2 linked regions of the Rhinolophus ferrumequinum genome follow. The protein of the gene in region 1 interacts with the protein of each later gene in a pairwise test. Links are inferred from orthologs where the notes say so. Each region holds a gene or a part of one and is shown in the gene's direction. Other genes may lie near its edges. The genes, in order: METTL21A and FAM200C.

Region 1 (16,075 bases):
CACACAGACCTCATCTTGTAACGGACGCCCCGGTAACACCCTTATCATGTTCTGTCCGTGACTACAGATGGTGCGAACAGTAGCCAGTTCCTTTCTATCTCCCCACCATTTGTCACCCGGAGCCTCTTCTTCTTCTTTCCAAGGAGACTGAGTTCTGCACGGATGTGACTGACGTCCCTTGCAGGGTACCTCTGGGGCCTTCCCAATACCCGTGGTCCCTTCAGAGTGATGTCCGCGCCTTCTGGAACGTTCACAGTCTGATGGCTGAGAATGGTGTTCATCCATGCGGTAGATGCGGCTGCATCCTCAACAATTTTAAAAAGTGTTAAGGATCCCAAGATCAGAAAGTTTGAGAATTGCTGGGTTAGAAGTTTAAGGCAATGTGTTTTCTGAGATCAGATTAAACTCTAGTTTATGGCAATTAGATGTCTCCATGTGAAAGCTGTCTTTTAAAAATGCCTATGTCTCAATTTCATTATCTTTAAAATGAGGTTATAGCACAACCATAATACTAATCTATATTACAACATTGAATAAAAGATTAATTGAAAACATCAACCACAGTAGCTTGGATTAGAATAGAGCATTCTAAAACAAACAAAGGAATATTAACAGTACATTTAAAGAAATTTCCTGAATTTTCTGTCCCTTTCCCATTTTTTCTCTAGAACAATAGGAAAATGTGTCTAATTTGCTATCACGACAGCATTTGATCAGCGAAGGCGTCTACTTTTTGGAGATTAGTAGTCTAATCAATTTACATCGGCCCACATTAATGAAAAATCACTGTGAGTAAAATTCCTTCGTAACAAAACTCATCTTAATTGCATACTGTATAAACAAATAGCTCTTGAACTTGGCGGATGGCTTGGTGTGTTGTCTCATGCTGCTGTCATTATGGTAAATTTCAGTTTAAATAAAATCAAGTAGCCACTCTCTTCCAGTTCGCTGCAGTGGCTAAACAATGTCACAATAACTTGATACTTATAATCCATTTTACCTTCACTTACAGGGTAAGCCATGTGGGCAGAAAGTGGAGGGCAAGGGGATACAATGTTGCTATATCCTGATATTTAGAATCCTTGCTACGTTAACAGAACCTTAGCTGGAAGGATACGAGGTAGCCCATTTACAAAATGACAGATGAGGTCTGCCCAAGTGCACAATTATGCCTGATTTAAGGCTTAATAATGATGAATTTACTTAAAGCAGTCTAGCTTTTTTAAAGTCTAAGATTCTAAATGATAAAAACAGTAATCCAGTAGGGTCAACTATTGCTACTGAGTTAATAACAGGTAAGTCTTACTAAGAAACTACTACTACGTGCCCGTGTTATGCATGGTAATGGGCATGTTTTAGCTCATTTACCACCACCACCTCCCAGACGTCCACTGACCTAAGCATTACTATTGTTCTGTTTTCACAAAAGGGAAGAAATCGATCTTTGCAGGAGTTAAGCTCATATGCTGTGATAGTGGCGTGTGTTCTCAACTGCTGTCCTATACCAGTTTCTACTTTAAAATTGTCATTTTAAGCAAATCCTAGTTTCTTTTTAAAAGGTATTCTCATTCGAATTTTGGCTTCATTTGTCCTTGCTGCTTTGGTTGCTGACTACTATGGGTTGAATTGTGTCCCTTCAAAAGATGTGTTGAAGTCCTAACCCCTGGTACCCGTGACAGTGACCTTAGTTAGAAATAGGGTCTTTACAGATGTCATCAAGTAAAAAAAGGTCACACCAGATTAGGATGGACCCTAAGTCCAATGATTAGTATTCTTAACAAAGAGTGGGGGGTTTGGAGACACGGACACACAGGAAGAAGGCTGCCACATGAAGATGGAGGCAGAATTTAGGATTATGTTGGCACAAGTCAAGGAATGCCAATGGCTATCGCAAGCTGGAAGAGGCAAGGAAGCATTATTCCCTAGAATCTCTGGAGGGAGCATGACCCTGCCTACGTCTTGATTTTAGACTCCTAGCCTCCAGAATGAGAATACATTTGTTTTTTATTATAAGACACCCAATTTGTGGTTCTTTGTTATGGCAGCCCTAGGAAACTAAGGCACTGATTTTCTGGACTGGAGCCCCAGGTGAACCTAAGATCCTGAGAGTAGGGCCCAGACCATGGCTTAGCAGTGGCTAAGCGATGGCTAAACAATATCAGGCACAGAGTAGACGTCCCCTAGAGAGATCACCATCCAACAAAGGAACAACCTAAACAAACTGAGCTAATTATTTGGTCCAGGTTCTAAAACTAGTTTGAAGGTCTGTTTTGTAGTGAGATCATGGAGAATCTTAAACAAACAAACAAACAAACAAACAAAAAACCAATAATGGGATACTGCCTTAAATATTTTCTGAAACAAGGCAGGGTATAAAGAAAAAATAATTAATTCTTTGAATTTGATGCAAAAAACTTGTCGGCCACGGGGAGCCCGTGAAACGCACAGCTCTAAAGATCACGTGCTGGAGAAGTGACGGCGGTGGGCTTTTGGGGGCGGGGCAGAGGGATCACCTGGCAAAGGCCAAGTGCTGACCCAGGAGGTGGCTGCAGGGGTGCGCGCTGAGGAGCAGCCGAGCAGTGGTGTTCTAACCACCAGCATGATGTCCGGTGTGTGACGCTGGGGGTGGACAGGAGACAGGTGGCCAGTCGGGGGACACAGGGCTTACCTCAGACGAGGAAAGAAGGATTCGGGAGGAATAGTAAGACCCCGCTACTCACTATGTGTCTTCAAGTTCAGACCAACGAACCGAAGCACAGAAATGACGGGCGCCCTTCTCAGCGTCCTCAGGTCTGAGGCAGACTGTCCACAGCAAGCAGCTCAGGTTGCGGAGAAGGTCAGGGAGAAGACTGAGTAAAGGGCTTCTTCTCGGGGTGCGCACCGACCGCCAGGGCCAGTCCCTTGCAGACACTCTGGTCACCACAGACACCTGGGATTACAGGAGCAGTGACTGAACAGATTCACAAGTGTGGGCACTGAAAGGCAGGAAGGTTACAAATCCTAGGAAAAAGTTGGGGCAACAGACACCAGTGCGGAAATAAGTAACAGTAAATTTTCAGTAAATGTGTTTCCTGCATGCCAGGCACTGGTTTCAGCACTGAGTGTGTGGTCACCACCTTCCTTCAGACATCGAGCCGGCAGGGTCATGGTAAGATCCCCACTTTGCAGATGAGGAAAATGAGGCCCAGAAATGCTGATTCACCGGTCAAGGTCATACGGCTAGGAAAGGACACAGCAAAGAGTGAAACTGGTAGCTCGGTTCCAACCCCACTGACAGGTAAGGACAGCAAAGTTCAAGGAGTTGTAGTGACGTGCCCGAGGTCGCACGATTAGGGAGCAGCAGAACCGGGACGGGAGTTCCAATCTTGCCATCTCCAGCTCCCTACTCTTCCACTGCACTGCTGGGGCTGCTGAGCGGAGCGCGGGACTTGTGTGGAAGTGTCCTTGTGAAGACTTTGAACCTGAAGTTACAGTAAAGCTGCTCAATAGGTGAAAGTGTAGGAAGAAAAGGCCAGCTTGCAGAGAAGCTGCAGCAGCCTGAGGAGCCTCCTCGTAGAGGCAGAGTGGAGGTGGTGAGTGGGGGGCGAGACCAGAGACAAATGCCCCGACATCCCAGGAAGGAAGGCCCCCGGACAGAAGGGCCTCTCAGTTCAACGCCATAGTGAAGTGTGGTGTCCGGGACAGAGGCAAGACCTGGCATTGGCCACAAGTATCTCTGAGAGCATCTCAGGAGGGCCAGAGAGCAGGAGGCCGACTGCAGGCAGAGGACCGAGCAGTGAGGACCCAGAGGCAGCAAGCCTGCATCGCTCTTCGAATCCCGACTCCTTGGACTTGTTTAAAGAGAAAAAGGAGAAGCCGCTGATGGAAGAACTTGGGGAGCGAGCCTCCTCGGGATGGGGGAGGGGACAGAACTCCCAGGGCAGTAGTGCTGGGGGACAGGGAGGGGCTACCTTCTCATCCTGGAATGGACAGGAGAGATGCAGCCAGGGATCAGGCTTTCATTCCGCCAACATTGATCAAGGTCTGTGCTAAGTCTGGTCGTCTGCTGAAAGTGAGTGTGGAGAGGAACCTTGTCTTTCAAACACACATTCCTCTATTAGGATCATATTTGTTGTTTGGCAAGTTAGCCATCACCCAATTGTATTTGAGGACCTTACAGAATATGTGTGTTTTGTCTACATTACTTCCGAAAAACAAACAACAGAAATATACTATCCATTGGGATTCTGGTTGCATGTGTCAGGCACTCAAGCCGGCTTAAGCAAGAACGGAAAATTTATTATCAGGTTACACTGGTATCCCCCAGGCCCCGAGAGCCCAGGTGCAGCCAGGAAAGGCTCAGGACAAGCGAGCCATCAGGAAGCCTGGCCCCCCTCCCCCGGCTGTCCTCTGCAGGCTGGCTTCTCCAAGGACGATGGCTCCCCATACGTGTGACTTTATATCTCCTTTGTTTAAGCCCAGACTGAATGAATCAGAATTGCGTTTCTTCTGCAGGGGACAATAAGAGCAGCGCAAACTGGCTTAAGCTAATTAGGGAATTTAATGGCTCAAATAACTAAAAATTCCCAGCCAGCTGTGTCCAGGTGGTCACATGGCACCGTAGGAGGCAGCCTCTCTCTCCACTAGCACCTGCATGGGCTCCATTCTCTACTGGTTCAGCCCACTTGGGACCAGATGACCGATAGGAACTCTAGCTTCTATCCATCCCCAATTCTCTGGTTCTCTGAGAGTCCCAGCAAGTCTCAGGATGGGTGGTGGGTAAGCCCAGCTTTGGTCATATGCCCGCTTCTGAACCACCCATGGCCAGATAGAAGGAAATACTCATTGGCCAGGCCTGGGACATGTGCCTGGTCCTGGAGCCAGAGCGAAGGTCCATCCCACCCCAAACATATCATATGCTACATGATCCTTACTGTGCGCTAGGCGCTGTTTTAAGCACTTTAGATACGTTAACTCATTTTAACCTCACTTTACTATCTTTTTTGTTTACTAATGCAATCAGCAGAATATCCCCTTTTTATAGATGGACAAATTGAGGCACAGGTGAATGCATCTTACCCACAAGGACACACAGCTAGTAAGCTGCAGAACTGGGATACGACCTAACCTCTTGGGCTCCAGAAGCGGGGCTCCTGACCCTTAGCAGAAGAGAACGGCTACCAGCAAATGGGAAATGGATGCTGGACTAATAAAGATAATAATAACAACAGATAAACATAGCCACTCATTCTGCAGAGAAAATTATTTACCCAGCCTGGTGGCTGCTTCTCCTGTGACCTCATACACGGACTAGTTTCAGAAAACGGTGGGACAGAATAAGCACCCTTCTACCATTATGCTCTGGTGAGGTGTCATATGATTGGGGAAAGGCACTTTCAGTCACGGGGCTAAAAATAAAAAGCTATCAGCCAAAGGCTTCAGGAGTGCTTCTGTGTATTCTATCTCCACCCTAAATGCTGCTCCCCGCAAGGGGCAGAGTGGGCACAGAGACTCCCACAGCCTGCAGGTGCGCAGGGAACCCACTGGGCTGGAGGAGATGACCACACCTGTCCTGTTTTTAGTTGTCTGGGTCCAGGAGAGGGCCAGAAAAAGAAGCCCAGTTCCCCTTGTTAAAGGAAAAAGCACATGTAGAGCGGTATATTACGATTGCTCTACACTTTGGAATTACAGATAATGCAGAGAGTGAATCTACCCTTTTTCACATGCTCAGCAAAACTGCCAGAAGAATTGTCTTCAAGTCTTAGAATCACAGTTGGATAAAAGTGGTCAGTAGTCTTAGGCTGATGCTGACACCGGGGGGTCCAGGCGTAGGGCGAATAAGGAGTCCTGAGCTAGGCAGAGCTCCAGAGAAGGAGCCCCTTCACTGAGAAGCTAAACTAAGCCGTCCATCCTAAAAACGACTACCTAATATTTGAGATTTCCGTCTTTCACACCTGTGTTCTGTCAGCTTCTGCTGAATCATTCTGTAACGACCCCCAGATCTCAATAGTTACTTCAACGGAGGTTTATTTTTCTCTGATGTTTCACACATTTCACAGGTCAGCAGTGGCTCTGCTCCAGCTGGTGACCCGGGGTTGGGGAGCACCCCAACCTGGGACATGCAGGTCATGGGCAGGAGAAAGGAGCAATGACACCTCAGGTGAGCTATGCAAGACACCTCACATTCCATTGGCCAGAGAAAGTCACATGGCCACACCTGACTTCAACAGGGCAGGGAGACATCCCTTCCTCAGGAAGGGACACAGGGCAGGCCTGCAGAAGTTAGACTGGGTATTTAAAATAATATAAGCTATCACATACCCAACTCAATCGAGGATTAAAAACTTATTTTCCAGTATTCACAGTGAACCACTGGCTGTTTTGGTTTATTTTGATAAAAACAGAGCTCCACTGGGGGTGGGTGGCCAGTTAGTTCAGATGGTTAGAGCTCAGTGCTCTTAACAACAAGGTTGCCAGTTCGATCCCCACATGGGCCACTGTGAGCTGCACCTTCCACAACGAGACTGGAACAACTACTTGACTTGGAGCTGATGGGTCCTGGAAAAGCACACTTAAAAATAAAGAGAAGTTAAAAAAGACAAAGAACAAAAACCAACCAAGTAAACAAATAAAAAACCAGAGCTCCACTTAAATGTCTACACTGCTATACAAGATGCATACGTTTCTAAATATTCTTTTTGGTGCTTCCTGAGCCAATTGGTACCAATTAGAACATTGGTAGGGCTAAAAAACATTGTTGTCTCTTATGGCTGACAGAAAGTAAATGACAACTTTCTAGATAAACTGTAAGGCAAATGTCCTATGTGCATGGGGTGCTGGAGAAGTTGGGTAGGTTTTGTTTTGTAAAGTCCCATGGATGATTTCAGCAGAAAAAAATGGAGAATGGGGAGGAGGACCGGGGAAAGGGGTGCAGAATCTCTATGCCAGGCTTCATGGATGAGGGGCCTGGGATCTAGGAAGATTTACTGATTATTCAAGGTCATCCCAATTAAAGTGTCAGAGACAGAATTTAAATTTTCACAGTTTCTTTGGCTCCAAAGCACATATTTTTTCTTATGCCCCAGAATGGCTCCCCAAAGGAAAGGGACAATGAGAGGGAAAGAGAAAATAAGGAGAGGAGAGGGTTTTAGAGAAGGAAAGCTGAGCGGGAGAAACAGCACAGAGAGGCAGAGAAGGTTGAGAGAGTAAGGAGACACTAGAAGAGAAAAAAGGAAAGGAAGAGAAGACCACCACCACCAAAAAAAAAAAAAAATTGAATGAGAAGAATAAAGTTGGAGGACTGACACTACCTGAGTTCAGACTTAATATAAAGTTACAGTAACTTACTATAAAATTATAAAGCTATATGTGGCACTGATGAAAGAATAGACAAAAAACAAGCCACAGACTGGGAGAAAATGTTTCCAAAATACACATCTGATAAAGACTGCTACCCAAAATAAAAAAGAACTCTTAAAATTCAACAATAAGAAAACAATCAGATTTTTAAATGGTCCAAACCATTCAGTACATGAAATGGTGCTTGACAGGTTCACAACACAGGTACCTGAAGAGGTGCTCAACATCACTAATCATCAGGGAAATGCAAATCAAAACCACAATGAGATATCACCTCACACCTGTTAGAATGGCTATTATCAAAAAGATGAGCAATCACAAGTGTTGCCAAGGATGTGGAGAAAAGGAAATCTTTGTGTACTATTCGTGGGAATGTAAATTGGTACAACAGTATGGAGGTACCTTAAAAAATGAGACCCAGAAATCCCATTCTGGGTACCTATCCAAAGGAAATGAAATCACTATCTTGAAGAGATATATGCAACCCCATGTTCATTGCAGTGTTATTCGCAATAGCCAAGACATGAAAACAACGTAAGTTCCATTAACAGATGAATGGATGAAGAAAATGTTATGTGTGCGACACACACACACGTGCGAATATTATTCAGCTATAAAAAAGGAGATCCTACCCTTTGTGAAAACATGGATGACCTTCAGGGCACCACACTAAGTAAAGTAAGTCAGACAGAGAAAGACAAATATGGTACGATTTCACTGAAATGAGGAATCTAAAACAAAAACAAAAACACACCCAAACACATAGAAACAGAGCACAGATCTGTAGTTGCCAGAGGTGGAGGGTGGCAGGTGAGGGCAATGAGTGCAGGCAATCAAAAGGTACAAACTTCCAGTTATAAGTTCTGGGGATATAATGTATAGAGTGGTGACACTAGTTAACAATGCTGGATTGGATATTTGACATTTGCTAAGAGAACAGATTTTAAAACTTCTCATCACAAGGAAACAAACTATGTGAGGTGATGAATGTTAACTCACAGTGGCGATCATTTTGCGGTATATACACATATCAAATCATTATGTTGTTCACCTTAAACTAAGGCAATATTCAATATGAATTACATCTCAATAACGCGGGGAGAAAAAATGCTCCACATCGTATGTCACTAGGGAAATGCACATTAAAACAACAATGAGATACCACAACAGGCCTGTTAAAGTGGCCAAAATCCAAAACACTGCAACAGCAACTGCTGGTGAGGATGCAGAGCAACAGAAACTCTCGTTCATTACTGGTGGGGATGCAAAATGGTACAGACACTTTGGAAGGCAGTTTGGCTGTTTCTTACAAAACTAAAAATACTCCTATCACATGATCCAGCAATCACACTCCTTAGTATCTACTCAAAGGTGTTGAAAACTTACGGTCACACAAAAGCCTGCACATGGATGTTTATAAGAGCTTTATTCATAATTGCCAAAACTGGGAAGCAACCAAATGTTCTTTAGTAGGTAAATGGATAAACTGTGGTACATCCACACAATGGTATGTTACTCAGTACTAAAAAGAAATGAGCTAACAAACTATGAAACCTTAAATGCATACTCCTAAGGAAAAGAAGCCAGTCTGAAAAGGCTACAAACTGTATGATTCCAGTTATATGACATTCTGGAAAAGGCAAAACTATGGAAAAAGTAAAAAGATCAGTGGTTGCTAGGGTTTAGGGAAGAGAGAGAAATGAATAGGCAGAGCACAGAGGATTTTTAGGGCAGTGAAACTGTTTTGCATAACATAATGGTGGATACGTCATTACACATTTGTCCAAACTCAAAATGTACAACTACGACGTAAACTAAGTAAACTACGGTCTTTGGGTGATTATGACATATCAGTGTAGTTTCATCAACTGTAACAAATGTACTACTCTGGTGAGTGACGTTGATAATGGGGGAGGCTGTGCATGTGTGTGGCCAGGGAGTGTCTGAGAAATCTCTGTACCTTCTCTCCAATTTGTGAAATTAAAGCTGCTCTCAAAAATACTCTATCAATCACATAAAAAGAAAAATAAACTGAGCAAAGCAAAAACAAAACAAAACAAAACAAAACAGGAAAAGACCTTCACTGGCGACTTTCAAAGTTCACTTCCAGTCACCTTTGTGCCCCCAGGCCTCAGCCTTCAGTTGGAGACAGAGGCCTGGCACGTCCCCTGCGGGATGGGAGAGGCAAGGAGAGAGGGGGCTTCAGGCCTGGCCGGAGCTTCCCACTGGTGACCGCTGGCGGGAATCACCAGGGAAGGTCTAAAACACCAATGCTGGGCCCCAACGCACACCAACTAAGACTTTCCCGTAGCAGGGTACCAGGAGTTCAAAAGCGCTCGCGTTCATTCTAACGTGCAGCCGGGGCTGAGATCCACCGAGAGAGAGCAGCGGCAGGGTGGGGTAAGGGGGTGGAGGTCAGGGTCAAAGCAAAAAAAGAAAAGAAGGATGCTGCCCTCCGGGTGGTCTAACTCTTGAGTGCTCACTGCAGCCGCACGCTTTCCAAGGGCACGCGGCCTGGGTGCCACGCTGTCAACAGCTTTCACGGCAAGAATGGGTGTGCCCAGGGCAGGGGCGCTAACCGTCAGCCCCAAGAGGAGGAAGACTAAGCCTTGGGTCTGCAGCAACCGCCAGGGCCAGGGTCGGGGCCGACCTCACGCCCCGGGCCCCGCCCCCAAGTTTTACAATCCAGGCCCGGGCGCCACGTGCTGGCTCCACGTTTGCGCTCTAGTTAAGGGCTTTGTCACTTTCCCACTGTATTGCCACCAAGCGGACAATTACACCGCTTCTGACCTCGCTTTGGTGATGCGAGGACGAATGGGTGACCACGTATTCTTCGCAGCCAGCTTTCGCCTACACCTGCTAACTGCCACCTTTAAAATTAAAAATAAGCAAGGCCACAAGTACAAAAAACAAAACGCGTGCGCGCGAGAACCAGCGCATACATAAGCGGCACCAGTACCAGGGCACAGCCAGTACCAGGTTGGTGGTTTCCCTTTACCGGTCGCCAGAGCACCCTAATCCCTCTGCGCACCTGCGCGCTGCTCCGCACCTCGATCTCCAGCCAACGCCGCTCTCGGCGGCAGGGGAAGCTGATGTGGCAGCCAGAATGCCTTGTGGATCCACGTGGATAAGGGTCGATACCCCACGCAACGTCCCCCCTCTCGGCCCCTCCCAGCACGTGCGTCAGCGCCGCGCCCCCAGCGCTCGCGGAACACCTGTCCCGGGGGCAGGGTGGTGGCGGAAACCGAAAACGCTGGCCGTCGGGGGCGCACACGTCCTCCTCCGGTCGGCACCGCCCCGCGCGGGCCCGGCCGGTCCCCTGTCCCCCCGGCCCTTTAAGGCTGGTCGTTTCCGCAGCCGGCCTCTGGGCGGGGAAGGCGCAGCGCGCGCCACGCCGGGGCCTCCTCCCGAGCCGTAAGTAGCGGTGGGGCCGCGCCTCGGGCCTCAGTGTGTCGCAGGCTCCGCTTCGGGGGCGGCCTGGGTGCACCCTCTGCCCTGCGCAGGACAGATCCCGTCACTCCTGGGGTGGGTGGGCGTCTTGCGCGGTTAGGGGGGCCCCAAGGACCCTGTGGACCCCTCCCCCTTCTCCCATTCCCAGCCCCGCCGGTTCCTAGAGCTCTGGGACCCGCGGGAAGGAAGCGCGTACCTATCGACCCTTTAGAGGGGCAGACGGAGACACGTGTGGGGTACTCTGGAGAGGCCTCCCAGCGGTGGATGCCCGAGTCCGTCCCGGACCCGCGCTCCCGCTCTCTCTGCGAGCGACTCGGAATCCATGAGTGTCTTTTCACTTCCAGCCTCTAGGAGATGGAACTGCGTCGACCGTATATATCCAGCTGGCGTCAAAAGGAAGGACAATCGAGCCGTTAACACTCAGTCTAAGTGCAGGTTCGGGTCCATGCCTGTCACTTGGCGAACGCACCGCTTTGGAGGGGTGGAGGCAAGACCCAAACAAAAAGTACCCTGCGGACTGCAGCGCGTTCCAGCTGCAGGCCTGGGCGGTTTAGAAAGCTCTCCTTTCCCCCGGGCCCAGGGCTGGCAGCGCCGCCTCGCTCACCCTTAGCGCGGCTCTGAATTCACGGACTTCTAACAGCGAAGTGTGTACCGTTCTGGGTGCTTTTGCCCAAAGACATCCTTTAGCATGAATTCAGAGCCAAATTTCACTTCTCAGAAAACTCGGAGGAAGGGCCATGGAGAATGAATTAGACAAACGTTTCCCCCCACCTCTTCTTTTGAACTTGTTAAACGAACTTAGAAAGCATTTGGGGCCACTTAATCGTTAATGCATTTTCTAGCCAGAGCGTCACGCAGGCATCTTTTGCCCAACAGGTTTAAGGGAACAGAGAGCTACCGCAGTCGAAATGGCCCTGGTGCCCTATGACGAGACCGCGGTAGTGGGGTTGCAGCGATTCCACAAGCCTCTTGCCACCTTCGCCTTTGCAAACCACACGATCCAGATCCAACAGGACTGGAGGCAGCTGGGAGTCGCAGCCGTGGTTTGGGACGCGGTAAGTAAGCCCTGGGGGGCCTCTGAAAACATCTACAATTGATTACAAGGCTGATCTTTATTTAAAAAAATAAAATAGCTTTATTGAGATATAATTCATATACCATACACCACTTATCTCAAGTGTATATTATAAATACAGGTAAGTGCTTTTTTAAAAGTAAATTCAGAGTGGTGCAACCATTACCACTCTCAATTTTAAAACATTGTCTTCACCCTACCCCCTCCAAAAAAAACTTCCACCCATTAGAATCACTTCCCTGCCCCAACTCCCCCCACATAGGTTGCATTTTAAGGGTGAGTAGAGGAAAGCTAAGGGAAATTAAGTGACTTGCCAGTAATTTCCCCAGCAGGTGAGAGGGAGGACGGGAAACCTTAACCGCTTTGTACACTCATTAAGTTAATTTTTAAGTTTAATTTTTAAAATATTGCAAAAAGAATATTGTAAAATGACAGAACCCAAAATGAAGATCATGTGTTTTCTTTAAGTTTTCATAGTTGTAATGGTCACAAAATGATACTATAATTGCTTTTTCACTTTTTCTTCTCCCTGCATTCTTGTGACAGTGACTTGCCATCAGAATCTAGTACCAAACTGGGATTCAGTGGCAGCTCAATGAACGTTGGGAAAATGCTTGGTGTAGATACAATTTTACAGTCTGCATTGTCTTAGAAGTTAGAGAACCATTGAGGAATAAAAATCAATATATTCTCACCCAGTAATATCACTTCTAGTAATACCACATGAAAACTATTCCCAGACCAAGAAATAAAGATGCATAATGGTGAGGAATGGGTGAACCTCCAAAATGTCCACCAAGAAGAGGAATTGTTAGTTATACTAATAGTATGTGGCCATGAAAAACTGTATTTAAAAATTATGTTAACAGTATACAATGCTTTAATAGATTTGTATGCAAATGCTAACTCACACGTATCCCAAACGTTGGCTAAAACTTACCTTCTGATGCCGGATAATATACGGTGAGGGCCCCTGTGGGGTGATGACCGTCAGCGATGCAGGAGGGAGGAACACAGCTCCAGGAGCCTCGGGTGTTGCTCTGCTTGTTCCCTCGGGGGGAAGTTGTGGCCTTGCTGACTTGGGCTTGGTTCAGGAACTGGACATTCTCATAAGCAAAATCCAAGACTGTTCATGTCAGTTCTGCCAGAGGAGTTTTGTAAGCCTCGAGTGGAGCGGTGCTGTGACAGTAAGAAATTAAATTTCCCAGATTCAGCAGGACCCTGTCTCATGTGGGCAGTGTCACTGGCCACTGCTGTTCCCGTCAGGGCATTAGTGTGGCCTGGGGCAGCTGTTCTGTGGGATGCTGGGATGCCGTGTCTGTGCTTGCTCTAGGACGTTACCTCCCAGCAACAACTGAGTTCCTGGGAGTGTTGTTAAACTGGGAATTGAACGTTGATTCAAAGTGGGAAAGGGTTGTGTGATGACTTCCTACCAGCTTAAACCCCTTCAGCTCCTAAAGCACCTTAATCGTAATTACACTGTGTTTTGACTCAGGCTGTCGTTCTTTGCACGTACTTGGAGATGGGAGCTGTGGAGCTCAGGGGCCGCTCTGCCGTGGAGCTGGGTGCTGGCACAGGGCTGGTGGGCATAGTGGCGGCCCTGCTGGGTGAGTGTGACACATTCATTCACTCCTTTGTGAGTGGGACTCATCGAGAGGTACATTTGCTGTTTTCTTGATGTCAAACCCATTACTGTATTGTTTTTCTTTCCCCTGTAGTTATTATGAGGTACGGGCTAACTCTAGTAAGGCTAATTTCTTCTCTCTTTCTTATCCTGTTACTTATACTTCTCATGGGAGATTGCTTTGCCCCTTTCAATTTTAAGGTGCGGATAATATGATCTGAAGGCTACTTTGAAGTTCAAAGAGAATTATCTTATTCACATACATAGTTTTTTTTTTTTATACTTTAGGTCCTTTCTGCGGATTTAACCCTGTGAGGTAGGTAGAGCAGACAGTCTCTTTCCTTCATTGCTAAGGAAACTGCTGGTTTTTCTCTTCTAGGAAGGGTCAGCCCTGCTACAGTTGGTACTGACATATTAAAAAATTGTTTTAACAGTATATAGTTATAAGTTGATTAATATCAAGATTTGTCAATTTTTTTTTGTTTAGTATAGAGACATTATTTTGGCCTAGCATATTTTTTAAGCCTCATTATTATTTGATTATTGTTTATTGACTCCTTTGTACAATTTCCAGCTCATGCAGTTTGAACTAGCCAATGAGAGGACAGATCAGCTTCTAAGATTCCACATATAATATTCACCACTTGTCACTTAGGGCTCTTAGTAAAATGCAGTTTCTGATTCCAAAGGTGTGGGCAGGGCCTGAGAGCCTGTATTTCTGCAAGGCCCAAGCGATGATGATGCGAACACCTAACTTATTTCTGCCCTTTCCCTAACTTATTTCTTTTCCAGTATTCCTTTCTCTGTGTAGATTTGCCTTCCAAAATTTGATGGGAACATGGGCAGGGGTGGTGGATAAAAGGATATATAAACCGATTTCGGTTTCTGTCTGTCTACAGCCACAGCGCTTTGTTCGCTGGTAAGGCCTTTGCTGCTGCACTGCCTTTTGTTCCCCTCGGGTTAGTCTGATCGCGTCCCCATGTGTGTTCGGTATTCTTTTTCTTTTCCATTTTTCAAATCCTGGAGATTGAGCCACTCTCTGAAGTCCTGATCATCAGAAGCTTAAGACTCAAACCAGCCTTGTCAGACACAGCAGCCCAAGTTATTTTCTTGCCACGACACTAACTTCCTTCTGCTTATGAGAGGGGTTAACTGGGAGGGGAAATGAGGTTTCTTTTGTTTACTCCTGAGAACTAGGGCTTCATGTACAACTTCTTTGGCTGGAACAGCAACAGGTTCGTGTGGTCAAGTGCAGAGGTTTAGAGTTATACTTGGTTTTCGCACGTCTTTTAATTCCTACTAGCTGTGTGACCTTGGGCAAAAGTTGCTTAACTTCTGAACTTCAGTTTCCCTATAAATTGAGGAAATAATTGTATTCATTCCACACTGAGGATCAAATGAGATCGTGTGTCGAAATCTGCTGGCTCATCGACTGGCTCAAAGTAAAGGCTCAGTGAATGTTGATTGCCTCTCCGAGTATTTCTGTTTCTGCTCTAGAAATCTGGATCTGTGGGGTTGCGGAAGTCAAGATAAGGCTCTTCAAACACTAGCATAGAGCGATAGGCTGGTTAGCCATTGTCACAAAAGGCCCCGGGTGGTTCTGGGAGGGCCTAGAACAGCAGACAGTGTTCTCGCCATAGGGAGATGTGTGCTTCCCGGCCCCACTTCACGTTACTTGTTTGAGTTCTTTCCTGCCCCAAAGCAAAATTAATTGCTGCCTTACGTCTTTTCCCCACAGCACTTGGTATACTCCCTACCTCTGTCCCAGCACAGTCACATTTCATTATCGGCAGGTGTTTCCCGTGTCTGTCTCTCCTGGTTCCCGAGCAAAGGGACTGTGCTTCATTTTGTGTGTCCTTGGCCCTAGTACAGCACCTGCCACACAGGAGATAAATAGTTCTGGAGTAAGAGAGGAACACACTAGAAAATCATGAAAAGAAATGTTTCTGTTATAAAAGTCATGTAACTATTATAACAATAGCCCTAAAAGCACTCTTTTAAAAAGAGGGGAAAAAACCCACTAAAGATTCTCATTATTCATGTCAAGTATTTTCATTTTTTGTAACCCGAGGCTTTTCATCCTGAATTCAGGGAACACCTACTAACTGTCAGATTGGCTCATCTGAAATGCAAAAGTGATGGGTTACCCATACTTAAACATCTCGGCCCCCCTGCCCCCCACTTCCTAAAGACTAAATCCCAGGCTTCTTAGGAAGGCTCTGCAATCTTGTTTTGCCTGATCCTTCAGCCTCTTTGGTTTTCATAGCTATTGCACTGTTGGAAGCTCCAGGGCCTGTCCCTTTCTGGCCTGTCCCTTCTGCCTTGAACGCTGTTCTTTACGCCTTTCTCCTGGTTGATGCCACATCTGTGAAGTGAAAGCTCTGATTTCCCTTCTTTTGATGTCTTTGACCTCTGCTCCTCCCAAAGAATTTCTCCTTTGTGACCTCACAATTTCCTCACAATTTTTACTTCACAAGTCGCATTACAACTATGTTATCATGAGACTCCGAGGGCAAGGTTTATCTTGCTCGTCTTTGTATCTCTAGCACCTATGTGCTCAAATGTTTAACAAATTAAGTTACTGTTTA
Region 2 (16,229 bases), on another chromosome or scaffold:
AACCTGTATATACATCCGTGTGGAAATGGAGATTTTATTTTAAGAATTTAATGTAAGAACCTTTAATACAATACTATATGAAATAGAAACATTACATAGCCTTTTATCTGGTATTAAAATTCACAATGCGTATTACATTAGCTTCTGCATTTTCTTTTATATGTTTTATTTTGCCGAAGTCCTTAAACTTTCTCATTATAAAACTGTAGAGACTAACTGGTTATCCTCTTAATGAATAAATCATTTCACTAGACAATATAATAATGAGAGCCAGGTAAATAAAATATTTTCCTTATTTTTCTTTATATCCATTTATAGAATTCCATAACTACTAAGTACCGCAAAGGAGCATGTGAAAATTGTGGGGCCATGACACACAAAAAGAAAGACTGCTTTGAGGTAAATTCACCTTTGAGAATTTTGGAAACTGTTGTCGGAGAGTCTTTCTGTCTTCATTTCTTGTCAGAAAACTTAACCCTATTTTTCTAAAATTATCTGTACTTAGGTACAAGTTAAATTAAAATTAATTTGAGTGAAATTAGTTCAACATCACCAAATTTTTCTGCTGGAAGACGAACTGATAATTTTATTGAATAGACCATAAAGTCCTATGGTATGTCCACACCTGCTCTGTAAAGATTATATGAAATTTTCCTCTGGGTTACAGATACTTAGGAAAATTTTTAATGTGTTTTCCAGAGACCCAGACGAGTTGGAGCAAAATTTACAGGAACTAATATAGCTCCAGACGAACATGTCCAGCCTCAGCTGACCTTTGACTATGATGGGAAGAGGGACCGGTGGAATGGCTACAATCCAGAAGAACACATGAAAATCGTAGAAGAATATGCCAAAGTTGATCTGGTGAGCAAAATTCCCTGCCTTCCTACTATCCTTAAAGAATGGATATTTTGCTCTATGTCTAATGTGGTAACTCTATTTTCTGAGTCTTCAAGCAGTTTAAAACTGGGCATTTTTATTGTAGTAGCAGTAGTAATCCTAATTGAATAGTGAAAATAACCAGTGTGCTAGCCCTATTTGGCAGCATTTTTTTAAATTGATTCTTGTATTGTCCTTCACTCTTTGATTTAGGTTGCAAAAATTACTAGAAGCATGAGAACAGGTTAGTGTCCAAACCCCTGGCTTTCTGAGGTTATAAACTTGATTCCCAGACTGGATCCTGCCCATGAGCCTATTTGACAGTCGTCTCAGAGCATGTTAGGGTGGTAGCAGGGGACGAGGATAACTTGTTTCAGAAAAAAAGAATGGTGTCTTAATTCTGCCTCAACTTTTTTCTGTTACAATTTTACCTGCTCACTCCATTCCTTAAAAACCGCAGTCACACTGCCCTTTTTTTTTTCCTAAAGGGAAGTTAACATTTAAAAATCATTGGATTCCACTTAATCTGAATTTCATCTTTTCTTAAACAGTGAAATATATTGTAATCCTGGGCCTGCCTGGCAAGCGTCAGTCATCTGGAGTCAGGTGGCAACGGCCCCTTTTGCACAGGGCTTGCTCTCTACAGTTTTTCACCAGTGCTGTCTGACTCATTTTCCATTAATGCCTGGTTCAAACAAGAGTTTGTAACTCCTTGTTTTTTAGACAGCCATAGGTCTAGAGCTACAAGAAACCGCAAAGAGATGACCTTGTCCAGTGACCTTTTCTGAAAACAAATTTAGTCTTTTTTTTTTCCTAATTTTTTATTGGGGAATATTGGGGAACAGTGTGTTTCTCCAGGGCCCATCAGCTCCAAGTCATTGTCCTTCAGTCTAGTTGTGGAGGGTGCAGCTCAGTTCCAAGTCCGGTTGCGGTTTTCAGTCTTTAATCTTTAGTTGCAGGGCGTGCAGCCCACCATCCCATGCGGGAATTGAACCGGCAACCTTGTTGTTGAGAGCACGCGCTCTAACCAACCGAGCCATCCGGCCACCCCTCCGGAAGCTCAGCAGCAGCTCGTTGTCTTCAATCTAATTGTCTTCGATCAAAGTCTAGTCGTGGGTTGTGGAGGGCGCAGCTCACTGGCCCATGTGGGAATCGAACTGGCAACCCTGTTCAGAGCTCGTGCTCTAAACAACTGAGCCACCCAGCTGCCCCAAACTTAGTCATTTTAAATGCACTACAATAATTAAATGTTTATTTGAATGTTGTTAATAAATCTCAAATGTTTCTTTTTTTGTTAGGCAAAACGAACACTGAAAGCCCAGAAACTCCAAGAAGAATTAGCCTCAGGAAAATTAGTAGAACAGGCTGTAAGTAATAGAATGATCTATTTTAAAATGTCAAATCTTAGTAAACAAAAACTAAAAACTGAAACAAGAATTCATTTTATGTATCTTCTGTTATATCTTTTTTTTTCTGGTATATCTTTGGACTTGAGAAAACTAGTGAGGGTTAATGAAAATGGTATGCCTAAAATGAACATATATGAAATTGAATATTTATTGGGTACATTGGTCATTTAATCTTTCTATTACCTTTATGTGATTATGATCCTATATCTAAAAATTCTCTAGAAATTTTCTGGCATCTAATAAAATTAACTATTTAACAATGACATACTTGTATTCAGAACTTATATGCTCATTATAAGTGAGAAATACGAGAATTTGTTCAATTAGATTTGGTATATTATCTTAACTATGTTTTTAAAGTGTTAAATAATCAGTAGATGTAGTAGAATAAAATGACAATTTTTTTTTTTCCTTCTGTCATGATGCAGAATTCTCCAAAACACCAGTGGGGAGAAGAGGAACCAAATTCTCAGATGGTAATAAATATTTGCCTTATCTGGGTATACATTGAAATTTTCAACTTCTGATGGCTAATATGATAATAATATATTATTATTATTACTAATTATATTAATAAATAATAATAATAGCTTTAAATAATACAAGTGAATGAGGGTATGATTAAAGGGGAATGAAAGGAAAAGAAAAACTAGATGCTGTTCTTTTTTTCTTGCTCATTTTTCCCCTCTTCCTCTTTCAGGAAAAAGATCACAATAGTGAAGATGAGGATGAAGATAAGTATGCAGATGATATTGACATGCCTGGACAGAACTTTGACTCTAAGAGACGGATTACTGTTCGGAATCTCAGGATTCGAGAAGATATTGCAAAAGTAAGCCTGGCCAACTTAACGTACACGTTCAAAAAATACTTCCCAACCTAAATTTCACCTAGTTGTTTAGTATCTGGGCAGTAGGTGGGTAACATAGTCATTCCCAAATTAGGTACCTTCTGGTTTTTTTCTCTTCATCTGTGTCCCAGGATGCATTCACACGTTAAATTGATTATGGTCAACTCCTAGTCTGCTGAAACTTTTTTAGATGGAAGTAAACATTAATGCAGTCCTTAAACATCTTTCTGTTCTAGTATTTGAGGAATTTAGATCCAAATTCTGCTTACTATGATCCCAAAACGAGAGCGATGAGAGAAAATCCCTATGCCAATGCAGGAAAGAATCCAGATGAGTAAGTATTGAGTTAAATGTACAGATTTCAAGATTGGCGGGGGTGAGGGCAGCTTTTAATTGTAAAACTGAATCTGAATTAAAATACACATCATCTATGGCTCGGTCAGAGAAGAATTAACTATCCTTAAAAAAAAATCAACCTCTGAAACAATTCTTTTTTCAATTTGTATTTACAGAGTGAGCTACGCGGGAGATAACTTTGTTAGATACACAGGTGATACCATTTCGATGGCTCAGACGCAGTGTAAGTGTTTGTTGTATTGTCAAGGCATTTTATATCAACTCATAAGAAATTTGGGGGGAAAAAGAAATTTGGGGGCATTGTTTAAAAACTAGAGCAGTAAATGTAGCTGACTGCTCATGAAGATGTTTTTCATTGCCACAGTGTTTGCATGGGAAGCCTACGACAAGGGATCTGAAGTACATCTGCAGGCCGATCCTACAAAACTAGAGCTATTGTATAAGTCCTTCAAAGTCAAAAAGGAAGACTTCAAGGAACAGCAGAAAGAAAGCATCTTGGAAAAGGTAATTTTGACCAAAATGCTAAAGAAGAACATTCCTTACAGTTGAAATACAACATACACAGAGTCCCTTTTAGTCCTTTGGGAATAGTCCTTTCCTCTTATTGACTTAATCCATGGGCAAACAGTAATAATATAGCTGTATTTCTAAGCTTTTGCAGCAAAACAAACCACCCCAAAACTTAATAACTTGCGAAACATTTCTTTTTACTCATTATTCTATTTGTCAATTGGGTCTCCTGATCTGGGCCTGCTTATCTGAGGCTGGAGGATCTAAGATGTCCTGACTCTGGTCTAACAGTTACTAGGCTGATTGTCCTACGAGGGCGTCCTCTGGAACAGCTCATCGCTTCCCATGCTGGGCACTCATCCTCTAGTAGGCTCGCCCAGCTTCTTTCCATGGCATTCTCGGGATACCAGAGACTAGTAACAAAAAGTATGCCCCAGGAAAAAGGCCCGCAAGTGCTTTCCGGTCCTTTGCTGGGGTCACACTTGCCAGTTTCCCATAGGCCAGCACAAGTAACATGGACAACCCCAGATTCAAGGAATGGAGACGCAGACTCACTCTCGAAGGGAGGAGCAGCAAAGTCATGTGGCAAATGGGCACAAGTACAAGGATAAGAGGAACGTATGGCCACCTGCAACAAATTAGTGGCAACTGAGACATCTTTTATTTGGTGGCATTTTTTTTTTCACTGTGTCTTACATAACAAGGTCCATAAAGAATATTTCTTTAATCTTTTTGATTGGAAATAAATCCTTCAGTAGAGGTTTGAGTGCACATCTTTGTTGTAAAGTGGATTTAATAACGTTCACTGTCTTTTTATAATAGTATGGGGGCCAGGAACATTTGGATGCCCCTCCAGCCGAATTGCTTCTAGCTCAGACAGAAGATTATGTGGAGTACTCCAGACATGGGACTGTCATTAAAGGGCAGGAGCGGGCGGTCGCCTGCTCCAAGTATGAGGAAGACGTGAAGATCCACAACCACACGGTATGTGCTGCATCAGAGCCATTTTGCTCTATATTACAGTTTCATGTTATAACGTCATTATTGAGTCATGGCTGTGCTTTTCTTTTCTCTTACCTTTTAAGTTTGTTTTGTGAAATGTTTCCAAAAATAGAAAAAATGTAAAAGAATGTTCACCCACATACCCAACACTAGATTTAGAAATTTTTTACGTGTTGCCGTATATGCTTTATCTAGATATGTGTGCATGTATGCATGCTGAAATACATATTTCTGTGTATACATACTTTTTACATTATTTTTTTGATTGAAACATTTGGAAATTACAGATAGGACGTTTCACCAATAAGCACTATATCGTGTATTTCCTAAAATGAAGGATATTCTCTTTTGTACCTACATTGCGTTTATCGCACTTCAGGAAATTGACAGTAACTCCTTAGCAGCATCTAATCTCTAGTCCTTAATCTCATTTTCCAAAATACATCCCCAAATGCCTTTAAATAGCTATTTGGAGTTTTGTTTTTTGTTTTTGAGTCAAAGTGTATTTTGATTGTTATTTGGTTGTTATGTCTCTTTTATCTAGAGTGTAGCTCTCCTATTTTCATGACAGTGACTATTTAATAGATCAGGCCAGTTATCTTATAAACTGGCTCATATTCTGTAGTTGACTGGTTTCTAGAGCTATCATATAACTTATTCTTCTTTCCCTTGTATTTTGATAAACAGGAATTCAGATCCAAAGGATCTAAAGGCTTAATTGTTAAATATTTTGTTAATTTGTTAAATATTTTGACAGCACTTCAAAGGTGATGCAGAGTACTTCATATTGTATCACATCATAAAGCATATAATTGTCACTTACTGTATTATTGAAATAACCAGTTGTCTCTCTAAGTTAGGGGTTAAAAGCATAACTACCTATAGGAGCCAGGGCAGTAAACATACATGAGTGAAGTGATCCAGGAAAATTGTATAAACTGTAGAACAAAAACCCTGTCTTGCCAAGTGGGAATGTGAGCACAGAATTTCCTAGTCCTTAATTTTTCAAGAGAAGACACGTATCCTAAATTATTTTATACATGTTAGAAATAGAATATAAGATCACTGTAACTGTAATGCCTGCTTCTTATACTTGAGGTCTGGCCGGCCTTTCCCTATTAGCTAGCCCTACAATTAGCCCTAGTTCAGGTTGCATTTTAAGTAATCTCTCTCTCTCTCCAGCATATCTGGGGATCTTACTGGAAAGAAGGCCGATGGGGATACAAATGCTGTCACTCTTTTATCAAGTATTCCTATTGTACTGGAGAAGCTGGGAAGGAGATTGTTGTAAGTAATTGTTTTCTAGCTCTTAGACCTATTAAACACAGCTCTTAACTCAAAATCTGTATGAAACATGCTTTCTCATGTTTCAAATTTTAACATTTTCTTAGATGGTTGGTAACTATGATACTCAAGTCCAGTTACATGTTTTCCTACAGAATTCAGAGGAATGTACTGTAAATGAAATAACTGGAGAAGAATCTGTGAAAAAACCTCAGACCCTCATGGAGGTAAGTCTATAATCATTTGTCCTGAATTTTTAAATCCCAGAGGAAGGACTTTAAAACTTGCACTAGAGCATTGTTTTCACAATAACACTATGTTTCAATCCTCCCTGTCAGATACATCAGGAGAAACTAAAAGAGGATAAAAAGAAAAAGAAGAAGAAGAAGAAGAAGCATAGAAAGAGCAGTTCAGAAAGTGATGACGAAGAAAAGAAACATGAAAAACTGAAAAAGGTACTTTGTGAAGTCTAAATAGTGAAAGTGACAACAGTATTCTTTATTGGTGGCGGACCTTAGGAAATTATCTAGTTCTAGCTCCCAGCTCATTTTAAAAATGAGGAAACAAGGCCCCATTCTGGGTCATTTGCTCAGGTCACCTTGTATCACATCTAGAATGCGAATGGAGATTTTATGTGTCTCAGTATTGCCTGCTTCGTAGAATATTTGACAAATATCATGAATGCACAGAAGAAATGTGCTTTGTAAAGCTGTAATTTCAGAGTTATTGAAATTATGTTGTCCAGAAAGAATTGCCTTCTAGCTCTATAGTCTGTAAGTTTCAGCAAGTCCTTAGGAAAAGTCAGAATTCCGGTCTCTACCAGAAGCGTCACTTGTGGGCTTCTGTCGGTAAAATGACCGTCATTCAATTTTTGCAATTAAGCAAAAGTGCTTTAACATTGAAATAGAATGTTTTGTGCTCTGTAAAAATAATCATATGAGCCAAATAGTAATTGCCGCTTAACAGGTGTAAGGGCTGACTCCCAAGCTCTTTTAGGCAGTCTAGAATTTTGATGTGGCAGTGCCTATTCAGTAGAGTGTTTTGATATTCTGCCCCTTTGGAACAAAAGCGAACTGATGGAGAGCCACGGTTCTCCTGTTTTTCCTCTCTCTATAGGCACTGAATGCGGAGGAGGCCCGCCTTCTTCATGTCAAGGAGCTCTTGCAGATTGATGAGAGGAAGCGGCCTTACAATAGCATATATGAAACTCGGGAACCCACTGAGGAGGAAATGGAGGCCTATAGAATGAAACGTCAGAGGCCCGATGACCCAATGGCCTCTTTCCTTGGACAGTAGTAACTAGTCACAGACGGTCACCCAAGATAAAAACAGCTGATGTGATACTCTTTTTAGCTTCTTGCTGATTGTAGGTGGAAAAATCAGTATCCGCAAGCAGATTTTAATAAAGCTTCCAGAAGTCTCATAGTAAATTCATTCCTTTCTATACTGAAGAAACAGAAGAAAAAGAGGAGCTACATTAAATACAGAATAAGATTTTATTTCCAATTTTATGTTCGTGATAGGGAAAGAGGCCCTGACTTGCTTGCGCATTCTCTCTCCCCCCCCTTCTCTCCCTCCCTCCCCCCCTCTGTCTTTCTCCCCCCCACCCTCCCACCTTATCTCCCTCCCCCCCGCACTCTGACTCAACAATTAAATCTCAAACTATATTTCTTCAATTTCTATGTCCCTTTATCTAGTGTTTGCACATACTTTAAAGGGAGATTAACTACTCTTTCTCAAAACCAGGGCTTCAATTTTTTCTAATTAGTAGTAACTATGTGTAGTTATTTTATTGTCATTCGTTTTTGCCTTTTAAGGTTTTCCTGGTCTGCAGCTAAAAAAATTCAATCTGAAAGGAAATTTGTAGAACACATGAATAACTGTCTTGCGTGGTGGTAATTTTGTTTTTCACTTATTTATAAACTTTTGATTTGTAAAATATGTCCTCATATTTTACACCCAGAACTAAATTGTTAGTCTTTGAGTGGAAAAATAACTTTTGTCATTCATGAATCAGTGTTTACCTATCAGCACATCGTCTTTTACCATTCTGGTCATGAGCCTTTAGACACAAATCCTTTATTCTAGAGGATATGATTAGTGATACTATTTTTTGTTTCAGTTCTGATTGCCTTTCTATAATAATTGCAAATATTAAATTTGATTTTAAAAGCTTATAGAATATCCCTTGTACCTAATCTTTGTAGCCAGCAGGTGTCACTTTATGTAATGTGCAAAAAGCAAAACGTGGAGTTGAAGGTTTCTTCGAAGAATTATAAGGATAGCTTGTTAGGGCTACCAGGAACTGAGACTGCCATGATCCTCAGGCCTCTTCTAAGAACAGTGTGAAAATAACACTGACAGTGAGAGCGGAATCTGTGTAAACAACCAGTTAAAAAGCTCTGACATGAGTACATTGTTGATAGCTCATTGAATTTTCTGAGCTACCAAAAACCGTTAGAATGCTACATTAAGTTAGCATCTCAAAAATAGTTCTGGTGGGAGAGTAACTGAATCAGATTGTCAAGTACTATGGGTATACATGGTATCTAGATTCAGACTGGTATGAAATTAAAACAGCAATGTAAATCTCACCCACTTGAAGATTGTTAAAAGTTTATGTTTTCATATTCCTACTTTAACATAGGATGATTCTACATAATGTCTGCAATTGGTGTTTGTTTTGTATATTTATCTTTTGTTAATAAAGATATATAATTGAGAAAACTATGCGTGGTTTGTAGCATTATTTCAAATATTTGACAGAAAATGGAGCTAGGATTAGCTTGTGTGAGTTTGAATCAGAAATTTTCAGGGTCTTTTAACTCAAAAAATGTGTCACCTATCCTTTCTGGGCCTCTGCTCCTCTTCTGTAAAACCTAATTTATTCTGATTTTAGGAAGAATTCTGTAATGTCTGAAATCACATCTTATTTCTGTTTCAATTTGGAAGAAAGGTAGTACCCAGAACATTACTCCAGACAGTGTGCTTTGATTTTACTTACCAATAATAATAGCTGCCTTTTGAGTGCTGGAACTATGTGCTGTAATTTTCATATGTTACCTCCTCAAAAGAACTCCATGGGGTGAGTAATGGATGATAACCCTATTTTATAATAAGCATGTGGGCATAATGAGCCCAAGTACTTTGCTCAAGGCCTAACAGTTCAAAGTGTTGGGGCCAGGACACAAAGCCAAGTATCTCTGACTTTAAAGCCTACTCCTTTCTCTAGTATTTAAGGCCCTGGTTCCTGGGCCAGGAAGGCTGATCTTCTGCAATTTCTTCCATTGACAGAAACCTTAAGCAGACCCTCAATCTTTACCAAGGTCACCTTTCAACACCAGAAAATGATTCACCTGTCTCACATTCTTGAGCACTTCCTCCTCTCCCGGTCTTGTGGAATGATTCTGACAAGAACAACTATTCAAAAATGAATAAAATAGCATTTCCTTAAGTGTCTATTTTGGAAGAAAATACCCCCCAAATAGGAAAGAGGGCTATATTTGGGCTTGTTTTTTTCAACAATATTTTCTAGTTTCTCCTTTGGGGTTTATCTCTCAAATCTCTCTACTCTGGGTTTATTACTATAAGATCCTGTTAAAAAAAATTTTTTTAAATAAAAATCTTTAAGATGGATGATGATTCTCAGGAAATTCATCCACTTGATCTAATTTATGGGAGAGGGTGACCTAAATAGGCAACAGGACACAAGCCCTGGAAGCACATCTTCCACTGTACCTTACAGACTGTACCATTTGCCTCAGTGTTTAAGTTGCGAGTGCAATCATCTTCCATTTCCTCGCTGAGACCACATAGAAAATGGTAAATTATTATAGCTTTACAACCTTCAATCTTAAAGCCTGACACAATATAAAATCTTATTTCCAGTGCTTTTAAGAACTATGTAGACTTTACAATGCTTTCTATTCCTTAGATTCTATTTTTCCACCATTCTTTCTGGCAGACACAACAAAAAAATTTCAACTCCACGTACACAATCTAAAAATGCAGAGGGCCAGCACGCATGCTCCCTTCTCAAGCCAGCCGCCCCCCCCCCCCCCCTCAGCTAATGCGCCTGCGTGCGGGGAGACGCCTCGCCCAGTCTGCGGGCGGGAAGCCACTGGGAGAACCCGGATGGAAGCCCGGCGGGGCTGGGGTGGAGGTGGCTGCGGGCGCTTCTGTGTCACCACTCTCCGCAGGTTCCTGCTCCGGGGTCGCACTTGAGTAACCACTGCCTAGACGGGTTCCGGCGTCCAAAAGCTAAGCCCCAACCTGAGCGGAGAGTGAACTGGAGCCTGAAACGGGCGCCTAAAAGAAGCCCGAGCATCCTTTGGGCCTGCGCCGTTGCTCGGAGACGGGAGGCTGGAGACGGAGTGGAGTCTTTCCTCGCCGCCGGCGACCTTTGCTCGCCCGGGCCGCCTCCTAAACGTCCTTAATAATACACCAACAGGTCCTTCCTACCAGTTGCGAGCTGCGTGTTCTTTACATGCATGCTCATAATTAAACCTCCCAACAACCCTATAAGGTAGGTACTATTGTCATCCCCATTTGAGGAATTGAGGCTTGGAAAGGTCCCAGTCTGGAAGTGACAAAGCCAGGATCCCAGGCTTTTGCCTCTGGAGCATTTACTCAGCTACTGCATTCCCGTCCCTTTCTCCTGACTGTTACTTTTAACTGTAAAATGTAATGATTAAATCCTCTGCCTCTCCAGACACCTGCACCTGCCGTGGACTGGCCTAAACGGTGGCTAGGTAGAAGCGGAATTGTGTTTGGTTGGAGTTTTAGGTTTTGCAACTGCACTTTGGTGTTGTCACTGCTAAAATTATGTGTTAGCATTCCCCAAATATTTGTGATGTAAATGTTCACCTCTAACCTTTTTTCTCTCAATCGTGATACTTTTTCATATCTGCCCTTATACTTCATAAATTTGCAAAAACATTTTACTTTGTTAGATCTTTTATTCTGCATCTTAAGATATCTCTCAAAAAATTATTCTGAAAAATAACAATTATACCAATCTTCAGGTAATGCTTTTTGTTTGCTCATTTTACTGTTTATTAGGGGGAAATGTCCAGCATACAGAAATAGAATGGTGTAGTGATAAGTACCCATCATTCATCTTCAACAGTTAACATCTCAAAGCCAGTCTTATTTCCTCTATCTCCACCCCACTTTGTGTGTATTTGCGTGTGTGAAGTATACAGTATTTCAAAGGAAATCCCAACATTTTATCATTTCACTTGTAAATAGTTAAGTCTGTATTTCTAATAAATGAGGACTTAAAAAAAAAACACAACCATACCATTATCATACCTGTTTAAATTAACAATGATATCTTACTGTGATGATGCTTTTTTAATGTTTACATATTTTTTAATATTGTGATCACTAAATACCACAAAGCATAAAGTGAAAATTGTGAGGTTCTAAAATACAAGAAAGCCTCTTGGTAGATAAATTCATCTTTGAAGACCTTGAAAATTCTTGCTGCCTATTCATCCTCTGAGGGAGATGGAGAAGGATGCTATAAATGAATTTTTCTAAAAATGATTTGGTTGAGAACAGGTACATCTTCAGTCAAAATATATTTAAGTAGCATAGTTGGGGTGGGTAGGAATGGACTCTTAACTGATCCTATAATTTGTAATGAGACTCAAGGAAAAAGCTCTGTTCCCCAAAACATACATGGTAAATATACATAACAGAATAAGAAAGATAAGCATTTTTTATGTTGATGTCATAATTTTATTGTTATCAATTAGAAGAGGTTCCAAACACTGCTGGTCCTCTCGTCTCATCATTTGACAAAAGAAGGCTTAAGCTCAACTTTTAAACTTTAAATCATCTTTCTTGACTGGCAGACATCTTCTAATTTTCACCTGGCTCATAACAAACAACCACATGGCAGGTCAACGGACTAGTTACATAGAAGTACATTTTACAGTTTGTTAATCTTGGCAGAGCCACTAGAAATCTAGTGCTTTAAGTAAATATTCTTGGCTTACTTACTGTGATTTACTGTGATTTTTTTTTTTCCTGGCCAAAGTGGGCATTTGGATTTTAATGTGTCCCTGTTATTTCAACCACATTCTGTGTCATTAGAACTTTGGAAACTTTGGAGATCACTTATTTATTTATCTGGGAGATAGCATTGTTTTCTCAGGTATATTTGAGCCTACTTTAGGATTATACCGTTGCTCATTGCTAAGGAGGAAGAAAAAGAGGAAAGGCATAGCTTTCTTTTGAGGCCCCTCAACTTTCCTAGGAGGTTGTCATCAACTCAGAAAACTTAAATGCCTATTAAAGCATTTAGATTATTAGCAACCTAGAATATCTGCAAGATAGGAATTGACCTGAAGGATATGTTGTCATTCCTCTCAATCTGACTATCTACTACGATGTGTATCAGAATCACCTGGACAACTTTATTTCTGATTCTTTTGTCCTACTGGCGATAAATTATTAGTTCTACAGTAGTACAGGGGCATGTATGCTTTCAAAGGGGTACCTGGTGATTGTGATGGGCATCTCTTGTTAAAGATTACTGTTCTAGTTACCAGTCATAAGAATTATCTAAAATGCTTATTTAGAATACAGCTTCTGGGCCCCTGCTCCAAAGCTAGGGAATCAGAATCTCTGGGGGTAGGGCCCAGGAATATGCATTTTAGCAAGAGACTTAGATGATTCCTCCATTTACTCAAGTAAAAAACCACTGCCTTCTATTATACATCCAGTCCTTGGATTAAGCCAAATCTTAGGAACACTGCTTAATTTTCATTTTGTTGTTTCGGCTTCTCCCGTGACTGCTTTTACTGAGGGGTAGCTATATGAAAAAGCATCATGAAATTTCTGTTGTAATTAAGGTGTCCTTTATGAGAGAAAATTTCCTGAAATCTCAGTAACAAGAATAGTAGTTTCTCCTGAGCAACTGGTTTTTCCTTTTCTATATGGACAGTATGATCATGGACTGATAGTGGCAGAAAGCTCTGAGCCAAATTTGTGTCCTACTTCTATGTCAAGAGTGCCTTAATCAAACCTGTTTGAAATTCCCTGCTTAAGTTGGAGTCAAACAAAGCCACTCTAGGATCAAATCGTTTTACAGATCTATTTAATTCTTAACTATTAAAAAGAACTGGCCACCCTATCAAACTATCTGCCCTTCCTTAGAGTATGTAGTGAAGTATTTCTTTTTCTGTTCAGTGCTTCATAACAAGGGGTGTGCATACATTGGCACAGAATGGAAGCATTGGCACAGGATGGAAGGAGGGAGTGGTACTGAGATGCCCTTTCTGGGGATACAAAATGTACCAGATCTGTTTGGAACATACATCTTTGAAAACAAATTAAGCCATAACTGTAATTCACCAGTAGAGGATTTACGGGTATTCACAACTTGCATAAGCCCAAATCTTCTATATGTAACTTGCTGGCAAGTCATGTATTCCAGGGCATTAGCTGTGAGTTGCTGGCTTTAAGTTAGACTGTCATGCTGGCATGGCTTTCTTTGAACAGGCATCTTACAGGATATTTCTTGACATGAACACAGATGACAGGATGGCATGTGATGTGGCTTTGTTTTAATTTGGTTAGCCACTGATTTTTAATGTGTGGGTTATATTTTACTCCCAAAGCAAAATTCTGCGGCATCTCTGGAATACTGCTGAGAATTTTGGGGTGCCATGTCGAAGAAACGCAAATGGGATGATGACTATGTTCGTTACTGGTTCACCTGTACAACAGAGGTTGATGGAACTCAGCGCCCACAATGTGTATTGTGTAACTCGATATTTTCAAATGCTGACCTCAGACCCTCAAAACTGTCTGACCATTTTAACAGACAGCACGGTGGTATAGGTGGGCATGACCTCAATAGCCTGAAGCATATGCCAACACCATCTGATCAGAGTGACACCTTGAAAGCATTTGGAGTTGCATCTCAAGAGGATGCCTTATTACAAGCATCGTATCAATTTGCATATTTATGTGCCAAAGAGAAGAATCCTCATACGATAGCTGAAAAATTAGTAAAACCTTGTGCATTGGAAATAGCACAGATAGTTTTGGGACCAGATGCACAAAAGAAACTCCAGCAGGTACCCTTATCAGATGACGTGATCCATTCTAGAATTGATGAAATGAGCAAGGATATCTTACAGCAAATTCTAGAAGATATCAGAGCCAGTCCTCTTCAAGTGGGTATTCAGCTTGCTGAGACAACTGACATGGGTGACTGCAGTCAGCTCATGGCATTTGTGCGATACATAAAAGAAAGAGAGATCATAGAAGAATTCCTATTCTGTGAACCATTGCAGCCAACAACAAAAGGAAAAGATGTGTTCAATCTCTTCAGAGACTTCTTTCTGAAGCATCAGATAGCACTAGATGTATGTGGCTCTGTTTGTACCGATGGTGCCTCTTCTATGCTGGGAGAAAATTCAGAATTTGTTGCTTGTGTGAAAAAAGAGGTACCACATATTGTGATCACACATTGTTTGTTGAACCCTCACGAACTTGTCACAAAGACATTGCCTACAGAGCTAAGGGATGCTCTGTTTACTGTCATCAGGGTAATAAATTTCATCAAAGGGCGAGCTCCAAATCATCGCCTGTTTCAGGCTTTTTTTGAAGAAATCGGAATAGAGTATAGTGTCCTCCTTTTCCATACTGAAATGAGATGGCTTTCCCGGGGCCAAATACTTACTCATGTTTTTGAAATGTACGAAGAAATAAATCAGTTTCTTCACCACCAAAGCAGTAATTTAGTTGATGGCTTTGAAAATAAAGAGTTTAAAATTCACCTAGCGTACCTTGCAGACTTATTCAAACACCTAAATGAACTTAGCGCATCTATGCAAAGGACTGGGATGAACACCGTGTCCGCTAGAGAGAAGTTATCTGCTTTTGTTAGGAAGTTTCCATTTTGGCTAAAGCGAATTGAGAAAAGAAATTTTACCAACTTTCCTTTTCTTGAAGAAATAATTGTTTCCGATAATGAAGCAGAAAATATTGCAGCTGAAATAACACTGCATTTGCAACAGCTGAGCAACTTCTTCCACGGCTATTTTTCCGTTGGAGATCTTGATGAGGCAAGTAAATGGATACTGGATCCATTTCTTTTTAATCTGGATTTTGTTGATGATGGTTATTTAATGAAAAATGATCTTGCTGAATTACGAGCTAGTGGCCAAATTTTAATGGAGTTTGAGACAATGAAACTTGAGGATTTCTGGTGTGTCCAATTCACAGTGTTTCCAAACCTGGCAAAGACAGCTCTGGAAATCCTTATACCATTTGCAACAACATACCTTTGTGAATTGGGATTTTCATCACTTTTACATTTTAAAACAAAGTCCAGAAGCTGCTTTAATGTGAGTGATGACATCCGTGTGGCTATTTCAAAAAAAGTTCCTCGTTTCTCAGACATCATTGAACAAAAACTACAGCTACAGCAGAAGTCACTGTAAGCTGATACACTTTTGTAATGTATAATTTTTAATAGTCTCAATTCCTTCCATTGTAAAACTAAGCTATTCTATCTCTTTCCTTTTATATTTATGGTATACTAAATCCTATGTTTCAAAAATTTAGCATCTTTAACTTTTAATTTTCTCATGAATCATGTGAAAATATATTTTAAGAGCACAAGCAGCAGAACAGATTGTGTACCACTGCCTAGTTAGTACATAGGATTCTTCTAAGTATCTGTTTAACCTGTTGATGTGATACATCAAAAAGACACCCAGGCACTAGAATATGCAGGTAAATGGTGCGGTAGGCTAGGAATGGAGCCAAGAAAAAAAGAGAAGACCTCCCAGAACGTGGATCTTCATGTTAAGAGTATAAGTCAAAAGACGAAATGACAGACTGAATCTTCCCATTTCTGTGAGTGTTGTTATGGGTAGGTTAATGAAATCAGAAGAGGATTATGAAATGTTCTA

The links.
Region 2: the proteins of METTL21A (region 1) and FAM200C interact in binary tests that used the Homo sapiens proteins (3 or more experiments, as listed by UniProt). The two-hybrid records come from large-scale screens. The link is inferred for Rhinolophus ferrumequinum from reciprocal best matches to the Homo sapiens genes METTL21A and FAM200C.

Annotation. Positions count from the first base shown.
Region 1 is NC_046291.1:25,020,919-25,036,993, forward strand, and holds the start of METTL21A (protein N-lysine methyltransferase METTL21A), read left to right. Parts: upstream 1-9,846; 5' UTR 9,847-10,465; intron 10,466-10,506; exon of another isoform or gene 10,507-10,752; intron 10,753-10,768; exon of another isoform or gene 10,769-10,863; intron 10,864-11,132; exon of another isoform or gene 11,133-11,223; intron 11,224-11,664; 5' UTR 11,665-11,696; coding exon 11,697-11,843; intron 11,844-13,358; coding exon 13,359-13,470; intron 13,471-16,075. UniProt on the Homo sapiens protein: Protein-lysine methyltransferase that selectively trimethylates residues in heat shock protein 70 (HSP70) family members. Contributes to the in vivo trimethylation of Lys residues in HSPA1 and HSPA8.
Region 2 is NC_046307.1:29,706,258-29,722,486, reverse strand, and holds FAM200C (protein ZBED8), read left to right. Parts: upstream 1-10,409; 5' UTR 10,410-10,816; intron 10,817-13,922; 5' UTR 13,923-13,970; coding exon 13,971-15,755; 3' UTR 15,756-15,951; downstream 15,952-16,229. Other genes in the region: pre-mRNA-splicing factor SLU7, read left to right, coding at 319-399, 700-864, 2,178-2,246, 2,717-2,764, 2,989-3,120, 3,375-3,472, 3,651-3,718, 3,860-3,999 and 5 more.